Cricetulus griseus: one gene and its partner. The protein of the gene in region 2 interacts with the protein of the main gene of each other region in a biochemical or structural test. Links are inferred from orthologs where the notes say so. Each region holds a gene or a part of one and is shown on either strand. Other genes may lie near its edges. The genes, in order: Serpina5 and Plau.

Region 1 (4,475 bases), on a different chromosome or scaffold from region 2:
AGTGGATTCACTTGTGGATATCAGTTTATAAACAATGATGTTTGATGTCTGAGGCAGTTGGAGTTAGTGACTTAATCCCTTATAAAACTCTGTTGAAGGTTTCTGCAAAGTGTACCATTCTTTCTTCTCCATGTGACACTTTATGTGCTGTTCAATAAAGACAGAGCTAAATTCACACACACACACACACACACACACACACAGAGAGAGAGAGAGAGAGAGAGGAGAGAGAGAGAGAGAGAGAGAGAGAGAGAGAGAGAGAGAAGACAGCACTCAGACAGGCACAGATTCCTCCAAGGTCAGGTGGCAAATATGGGTTCCCATTGTAAGAAGAACAAGATACAAAGGAAAGTCTGTGAATCTCTAAGGGAAAGGAATCATAATGGGATAGAAAAGAATGAACAGGATCAGAAGAGATAGAATGGGACAGATCAATACAGGACCTAATTAGATGGAATGGGGTGGGGTGGGGTGGGGTGGGATAGGAGGTGGGGTGGGATGGGGTGGGGTGGGGTGGGGTGGCATGGAATAGGATGCTAAGGCTTCTAATTTCTGAAAGCAGGTGCTCGGGAGCATCTCGACTCACCTCAGACAACTTGATATTGGGGTGGTTAGTAATGCCAGACAGGTCAGCATGGGAGGTGAAGGCGTCCCTGATGCCCAGCTTGGGGAGGATTTTCTCCAGTTGGTAGGTACCCTCAATGGAGAACTTGGGGAGGTAAAGGTTCAACTGACTGGAGAGAGTAAAAGCCATTCTTAGACACCATGAGATGCTGAGACATCCTTAACACCTCTTTCTGTGGCTTCACAGACCTTATGGAACCTTCGTCTCTGCTGGAGTGTCCCCTGATTTGTACTTAGACTTGGGCTGCCCACTCTGGTGTCACCCCAGAACCCCACTCTTCCAGGTCTTATCTCTCAAGCTAAACCAGGTCCTGGACTGAGGACATCACAGGAAGTCTTTAGGCTTTGAGGTAGCTCACTGTCTGAGGAGTCTTTCCCACCATCACCGTGTGGTCCTGGATCATGTGTAACCCCAAGCATAGGTAGAGCCCCCAGAATGACTTAGAAAATACCTCTTGGTGCCTGAGTTCAGCCAGTTCTTCAGTACTCTACTGTTCAGGCCGTTCTCCACCTGCTGCATCCTGCCTTCACTGGGGAGAATGAACAGAGCTGTGGCGTTGCCTTGGTAAGGGATCCTCACCACTGTGCAGGAAATACTTTGGTCCACGATGTGGTAGTACTCATCTTCACGGTTCATCATGGGCACCTGTATGGTCTTCTTGGGGGTCACGTGGAAATCTTTCTGTTGGGTGTTTTTGGCACTGAAGGCTGTCTCCCACTTGGCTAAAGTGAACATGGGGTAGGAGTGGAAGTACTGAGTAAGAATGAGAGACCCTTGGCTGTGCCTGAAGAGTGGATATAGTCCAGAAAGTGTTTACAGAGCCACCTCAGCAGTAGGAGCAGTCACACCTCTTGGCCTTGAAGGCCAAATCCCCTCTTGACTCTGGGCACCCTGGACCTTTTACATGCCTGTTTTCCTAAAATCTTGACATGTGAGTTGAAGGAGAATGTCCCCCACAGGCTCGTATGTTTGAATGCTTGGGCCTCTGTTTGGGGAAGGATTAGGAGGTGTAGCCTTATTGAGGGAATTCTTTGGGAAAGGATTAGGAGGTATAACCTTATTGAGGGAAGTATGACATTGAGGGTGGGCTTTGAAGTTTCAGAAGCCCACACCAGCCCAGGCTTTCTCTCTTTCTGCTGAGTGCTTGTGGATGACATGTAAAGCTCCCAATTACTGACCTAGCATCATACCTGCCTGCCTGTTACTGTGCTCCGTGTCATAATGGTCATAGACACACCCCTGAAACTGTAAGCAAGCCCCAATTAAGTGCTTTCTTTTAGAAACTACCTTGGTCATAGTGTCTCATCACAGCAATAGAAAAGTAGCTAAGACACTTGCCTTCAGAAGCCCTTGGTGCCTGTCCTCTGCCCTTTTGACCCCAACCAGGTTCATATTCCCAGATCTAGTGGGTTTGGTATCAGTACTGTTTTGCCATGATAGCCCTGATGAGGGCCAGGTGCTGCCTGGTGAATCTTTGACAGTCTTTTAAGGAGGTTCTGTCTTACATGTAGCTGCTTTCCTTCCATCCAGCTGGCACCTGGATGAGTTGTTCTTTTGTGAGGGAGGAATGCTGTCTTGCAATAAAAACAGAAATGTGAGGAAGTTCAAGTTTGAGCCAAAGACTTACCTCTGAAGAAGATGTAATTTATCAACACCATGATGTTGGTATTGTCCAAATCCTTGATCAAGTCTACAATCTTGCCCCTGGTCCGCTTGGCCACATAGTCATTGATCTGCTTCTTAGCCATTTCAGGGTTCCCAAAGTTGGTAGAGAGAGTGTCTGCCATGTACAGCGTTTTCATGGCACTCAGGAAGCTGTCCCGAATATGTACTGCTGGGTCTGCAAAAAGGGCACTGCCCAGGCTCAACTGGAGGCCATCTCTAAGCTGGCTGAACCTCTGGAGCAGCTGTTGGAAGCCCTTATGGAACTTATCCTCTTGGCCTTGCTGGAGGCTGAGTCCCAGGCTCTCCAGGATCTGTGTCTTAGTGTTGGAGCTAGTCCCCAGAGAGAGCATGCCCAAGCTCATGGACACGCTCAGGGGGGAGAAGACGACATTCTGACCAGGGGCTTCAGAAGCCAAGGCCCTGTAGAGGTCGAAGGCAAAGTCTTCGATTCTGTGAGTTAACCCAGAGGACTCCTTCACCTTCTTCTCCCAGGAGCGGGAGCGGTGGCGCTGGCGAGAGGCCACCCCGAGGCTGAGGAGCAGCAAGCACAGAATGGGGAAGAGCCTCATGGTGGCAGCAGTTCTGAATGGGAGAATAGGAAAATGTTCTCAGAGAGGGAAAAGCGGGGGAGGGGGCAAAGTGAGAGAGACAATGAGGGGGCTGACATCCTCAAAGAAAGTCTCCACTTATCTTCCGAGGGATGAGGAAGAGGCTAAGGCCTTGGGACTGCAAAGAGAAGCGGTGGTACTCAGTGCTGTCGAAAGGTCAGATGAAGCAGGCAATTGCTTAAGACAGACTTGCCGACCAGCATGCAGTGAAGTTACAAAACGTCACCATTTTTTTTTCTCATAATGTTTTAAGTAAGTTTAGGATTTTGTATTGAGCCTCATTCATAGGAGTCCTAGGCTGTAGCTTGGACAGGGATGCCTAGGGTCTGTGTTCCATCCACCCACGTCCTCAAGCCCAGCACGTCCCATAACAGCAGGTGTACTCACTCTGTAATGTGTTTGAGTGTCCCAATGGCAGTCCACCTGGCTTAGAAGAGGACAGAGGATAGACTAAATTGCAGCCTGAAATTGTCACTGATCACAGAGGCTCTGTCCCCACCCCATCCCAACTCCGCCCTATTGAGAGCTGGGCTGATCTAAGAGTTTCTCAGAGGTCCTGATAAAAGACAAAAGGGACCCAGTTCTGCTTCAGGAGTAGACTTGGCAATGCCAGTCTGAGCCTGAGGCTGGGGCCTTAAAAGAGTTGACATTTCTGTTCCAGGGACTTGGCTTTTTCCCCTGAAGAGACTGGCCTTATCAGTCCCAAGGTTGCAGTGTGCTCAGTCTATAATGATCTGGAGATACTCTGTTCCTTTGTGCGACATTGTTTGATTAGCTTCCCCCTGACTTAGTCCCATCATAGGACAGTTTCTGCTGGCTCTGTCCCATTTCTTCCCTGGAAATAGTATGTAAGATACCGCACTTTATAAGAGGCTTGCTTAACATAGGGCATAGACAAAAAGACCTCCTGATCCCAAACTTTATCTTCTCTTTATCTTCTGATCTCCTGGTCTGCTCTCTCAGGACCCTGCCACCAAAGAATCATCTGCTGGTCCAGGTCAAGTAGTGACTGAACAGGGACACCTGAATATGAGGAAAAGAGTAAGTATGGCCATAATACATCGATAATTTTTTAAAAAGTCAGGTCAGATAGATCACCTGAAGGAAGAAGTGAAAACATCGGTAGTAAAACATGGGATAGCAAAATTCTTAAGGCCCTTAGGGTGGTTTGAAAGAAAATGGCCCCCAAAGGGAGTGGCACTATTAAGAGGTGTGGTCTTGTTGGGGTAGGTGTGGTCTTTCTGGAGTAGGTGTGGCCTTGTTGGAGTGGGTGTGGTCTTTCTGGAGTAGGTGTGGCCTTGTTGGAGGAAGTGTGTCACTGTGGGGTGGGCTTTGAGGTCTCCTATGATCAAGCTATGTCAAGTGTCACAGTTCACTTCCTGTTGCCTGTGGATTAAGATGTAGAACTTTCCGGTCCTTCTCCATCACCACGTCTGTCTGCGTGCTGCCATGTCCTGTCATGATGATAATGGAACTGAACCTCTGAAATTGTAAGCCACCCAATATTTTCCTTTATAAGATTTGCCATGGTCATGGTGTCTCTTCACAACTATTGAAACTCAAACTAAAACAGGCAC
Region 2 (3,816 bases):
TTTTTTTTGTAAGATTTACTTTTAATCATGTATGTCTATGAGTGCTGGTACTTACAAGCTGTCGTCAGCCACCTGAAGTGGGTGCAGGGAACCAAACTCCAGTTCTCTGCAAGAACAGCAAGCACATGTACTCTTAACTGCTAGCCATGTCTTTGGTACCCACACTTCTGTTTTGTTTGAATCAGTTTTTTCTTTTCTTTCTTGGTGGATTTTTTTTTTTTTGACAATGTCTTGCTAGGTAGCCTCACTGACCTTGAAATCACCATACAGTTCAGGCTGGCCCTGAGCCTAACATCAGTCTCTATTTAGCTTTCAGGAGCACTCAGTAAAGGCATGGACATCCATGCCTGACATGGATCGGCAGTTTTCTCTCATCCAAGCATTCTTGTCCCAAAGAGTTCAAGGATGTCCCCAATGATACTAAGATGCAGTCATCTCATTATTTCCTTCTTTTCTTGTGTCCCCACTTTCTTCTCATACAAGAATCACAGAGAAACCAGAATCTTCAGAAAAATCACATTTTATTGATCACCTTTATTCAGAATTATAAAAATAGATATAAATAAAAATAGCAGAACATAATTATTAAATATTAAGTATATTGGAATGATCCTTACCCCACCCAGTGAGGATTGGATGAACCAGGCTAATAAGTAAAAAAGATAACTGGCCAAGAAGTGGACATCTATATAAAAAGTGAAACAGACATTTAGTGCTCGTCATGGGTCATGCCTAAGAATGATACATTCACATGGCGCATCACATGGAAGACTGAGAGGCCCCAGCATCACAGTCCAGAGTTTAGGGAAATACCTAGACTTGCAGTTAGACACAGGAATATACCAGTTTTTGCTCAGGTTTACATTCACAGACAGTCTATAATATTTCCCAATCTATTTGTGGAATTCGAGAGCCGTTCCTCCAAGCCACCAGAGTCTCTACTCTTCAAACCGCCGTTCTCATATTGGACAAGCCCCCTCAAAATGCTTCAGCTGTTACACTTCCTAATTGGGAAATCATTTCTTTCCCAACAGCAGATCTCATGAATGACCCGTTAGGGGAACCAACTCTCCTCCTACACTTGCTCAGGAGACGTTTTTATAGCTTCAGATGCTTTAGTCCAGAAAAAGACAACTCCTGGTCAATATCCTGAGCCAGGACCAACTTTCCATCCTGGTCAGGGGGTCTGGGTGGCCAGCACCCAAGCCTGTGTCTGAGGGTAAAGCTACTGGCACTTACCCTGCTGGGCAGCACAAGCAAACAGTGCAGAGCCTGCCCTTCTCAACTTCTTCCCTACATTTGATAGAGAGGACCCTGCTGCAGAGGTGAAGGGCAGCATGGAAGTGAGTCAGTGGTGCATCTGTTTCTTTACTCAACCACCTGGAGGTCATCAGAAGGCTAGGCCATTTTCTTCTCCAATGTGGGCTTGAATCCAGCTCAGGAAGTATGAGACCCTCGTGTAGACACCTGGCTTGTTTTTCATTGAACATCCCCGGCCCCAGCTCACAATCCCGCTCAGAGTTGGGCGGCCATTGATGTCACAGACCAGAGGTCCTCCAGAGTCTCCCTGGGAAGTCAAAGATAAAAATAGGTGAACTCTGGGAGAAATAAGGACAGGGCCACCACCCTTCGGCCACATCTGAGGAGACCTTGGCAACTCCCTGTTTTCTACCTAATCAGGTATAAAAACTTCTACTTAGCTTCTGTCTGCTGCTGTTCAACCCTCTTCCCAGAGCCATACAGTGTGCCCAGTTTCAGTTTTGGTGCTTTCAGCTGAAGTATGCTTCTCTTCTCCTCCCAGCATTTTATTTACGACATCATATTCTCTTTAAGGCTTCTCCCCCCTTTCCTAATACCTGATCTTTTGTAATTCACAAGAACAGATCCCAAATAATGAATTGGACCATCATATTGATCTCACTTGTTCTTAGCCAAAGGCCCAGAAGTGATGTGAATAGTATCTATGTTTTGTTGTTGTTTGTTTCTGTTTTGGAGACTGGGGCAGAGTCTCATGATCCTATGCATTCCAAGCTGGCTTTGGACTCACTATATAGCTGAAGAAGCAACTTGTGAACTTCTGATTCTGATCTAATATTACAGGTGTGGATCATTACACACAGTCCTGGGGACTGGATCAGAGCTTCATTCATGCTGTGAAAGCACTCCACCAACTAAGCTATGTCCTCAGACTGTTGGTTTTTCTTATGGTCTCCATTCCCTGGGTGGAGGGTTGAACTCAGGACTTTGAGAATACTAAGCAAACTCTGTACCACTGAACTAGGCACCCATCCAGTTTTTGCTGTTGCCTTGTTTTGGTTTGGGTTTTTGTTTTATTTTATTTTATTTTATTTTATTTGAGAAAGGGTCTTGCTCTGTAGCACAGACCTTGAATTCTCTTGGGCTGGCCTTGAACTCATGATCCTTCTGTCTCAGCTTCCAAAGTGGTAGGAATGGTGAGGTTATAAATGTGTTCCATTATGTCTAGCTTTTTTTGTTTTTTGGGGTTTTTTTGCTTGTTTTTAATGCTCTCAGTCCTTTTAGTCTAAATGTGTAGCACAGGCTCATGCCAAATGTTTGAAGCTGTAAGTATTGGCATAAGCTCCCAAAGATCTAAGTCCTTGGTTCTTAGGATGTTGGCTAGAAAGAAACTCCCCAGAGCTGTCAGATCAACTCCAAGAGCTGGGGGGAGTTTGGGAGTGATAAAAGGGATGATTGGGAGTCTTACCTGGCAAGCATCTGTTTCCCACTGTGGGTCAGCAGCACACAGCATTTTATAAGTGATTTCAGAGCCATAGTAGTGGGGCTGCATACACTGTTCATGGGGAATAAGCTTCACAACAGCCATTTTCAGGTTCTTTGGGTGCATATAGTCAGCTAGATAGAGGAAATAAGTGTTTTCGTTAAAATGTGTCTATAGATGAGACTCTCTGCAAGAGTGAAGATAAAAACATATCGCGCCTGTGGAAATCCCTTATTCCTTTTTTAAAAGTTCCAATCTGAGCCTTTACTCCACCAATAATGAATGGTTCATCCATTGACTTGGTTGCCCATTGCTTCCCACTGTATCCCTGGACCTATTTGTCACCTCTATAGTGTTCCAATCTCTGTCTCCTCACTGTTCCTTTGATAGTCTGCTACATTTGCTTCTGGACCATAACTCTCCCCCAGCTTCAGCTTCAACTGTCACTTACCGACATTCTCGTATCCAAAGCCAGTGATCTCACAATCTGAACCAAAATGGACATCGCCAAGCCTTGGAGGCAGGCAGATGGTCTGTATGGACCTGGATGGCTGTGCACAATGGCCTGTGCTGGTACGTATCTTCAGCAAGGCTGGTGAAGGAAAAGGTCAAAGGGAAAAAGACTATCACTTACCAGGTCAGGTGGTGACCTGGTAATGCTACAGCACTGATGTATACTTCATGACACTAGAGTCATAGAGTATCCAAGAGCATCTGCTGGTATCTTGTCAACCAGAAGCCTCCCCTACCACATTCTCCTAATGCTTTATTTCAGCTGATGACAGATGTTCAGGCAGCCAGAGTTACCATATACATCTGAACAGATTGTTTCCTGCCAAGGGAGCTAAGCTGAAAGCCAGCCAAGGCTTTGCTCTATAAACCCTATATTCGGGTACAGACAGATGTATCCACCTAACCCTGCACAAATAGGGCATTCCCAGCCTAAGCCATATGCCAACAGGGTTCTTCCCACTCAGAAGCAGCTACCTGTTGGGGATACTCCAGGTCTCTACAGAGCAGTATTACACCCCTCTGTTACTCATGCATTTGCTCTGAACTCTTCCCCACGAATTCCC

What was found.
Region 1: the proteins of Plau (region 2) and Serpina5 form a complex in vitro, tested with the Homo sapiens proteins (2 studies listed by BioGRID). The link is inferred for Cricetulus griseus from reciprocal best matches to the Homo sapiens genes PLAU and SERPINA5.

Annotation. Positions count from the first base shown.
Region 1 is NC_048598.1:190,729,479-190,733,953, forward strand, and holds the start of Serpina5 (plasma serine protease inhibitor), read right to left. Parts: upstream 2,863-4,475; 5' UTR 2,860-2,862; coding exon 2,253-2,859; intron 1,348-2,252; coding exon 1,077-1,347; intron 735-1,076; coding exon 587-734; intron 1-586. UniProt on the Homo sapiens protein: Heparin-dependent serine protease inhibitor acting in body fluids and secretions. Inactivates serine proteases by binding irreversibly to their serine activation site. Involved in the regulation of intravascular and extravascular proteolytic activities.
Region 2 is NW_023276807.1:200,133,667-200,137,482, forward strand, and holds the end of Plau (urokinase-type plasminogen activator), read right to left. Parts: intron 3,333-3,816; coding exon 3,192-3,332; intron 2,875-3,191; coding exon 2,726-2,874; intron 1,568-2,725; coding exon 1,391-1,567; 3' UTR 505-1,390; downstream 1-504. UniProt on the Homo sapiens protein: Specifically cleaves the zymogen plasminogen to form the active enzyme plasmin.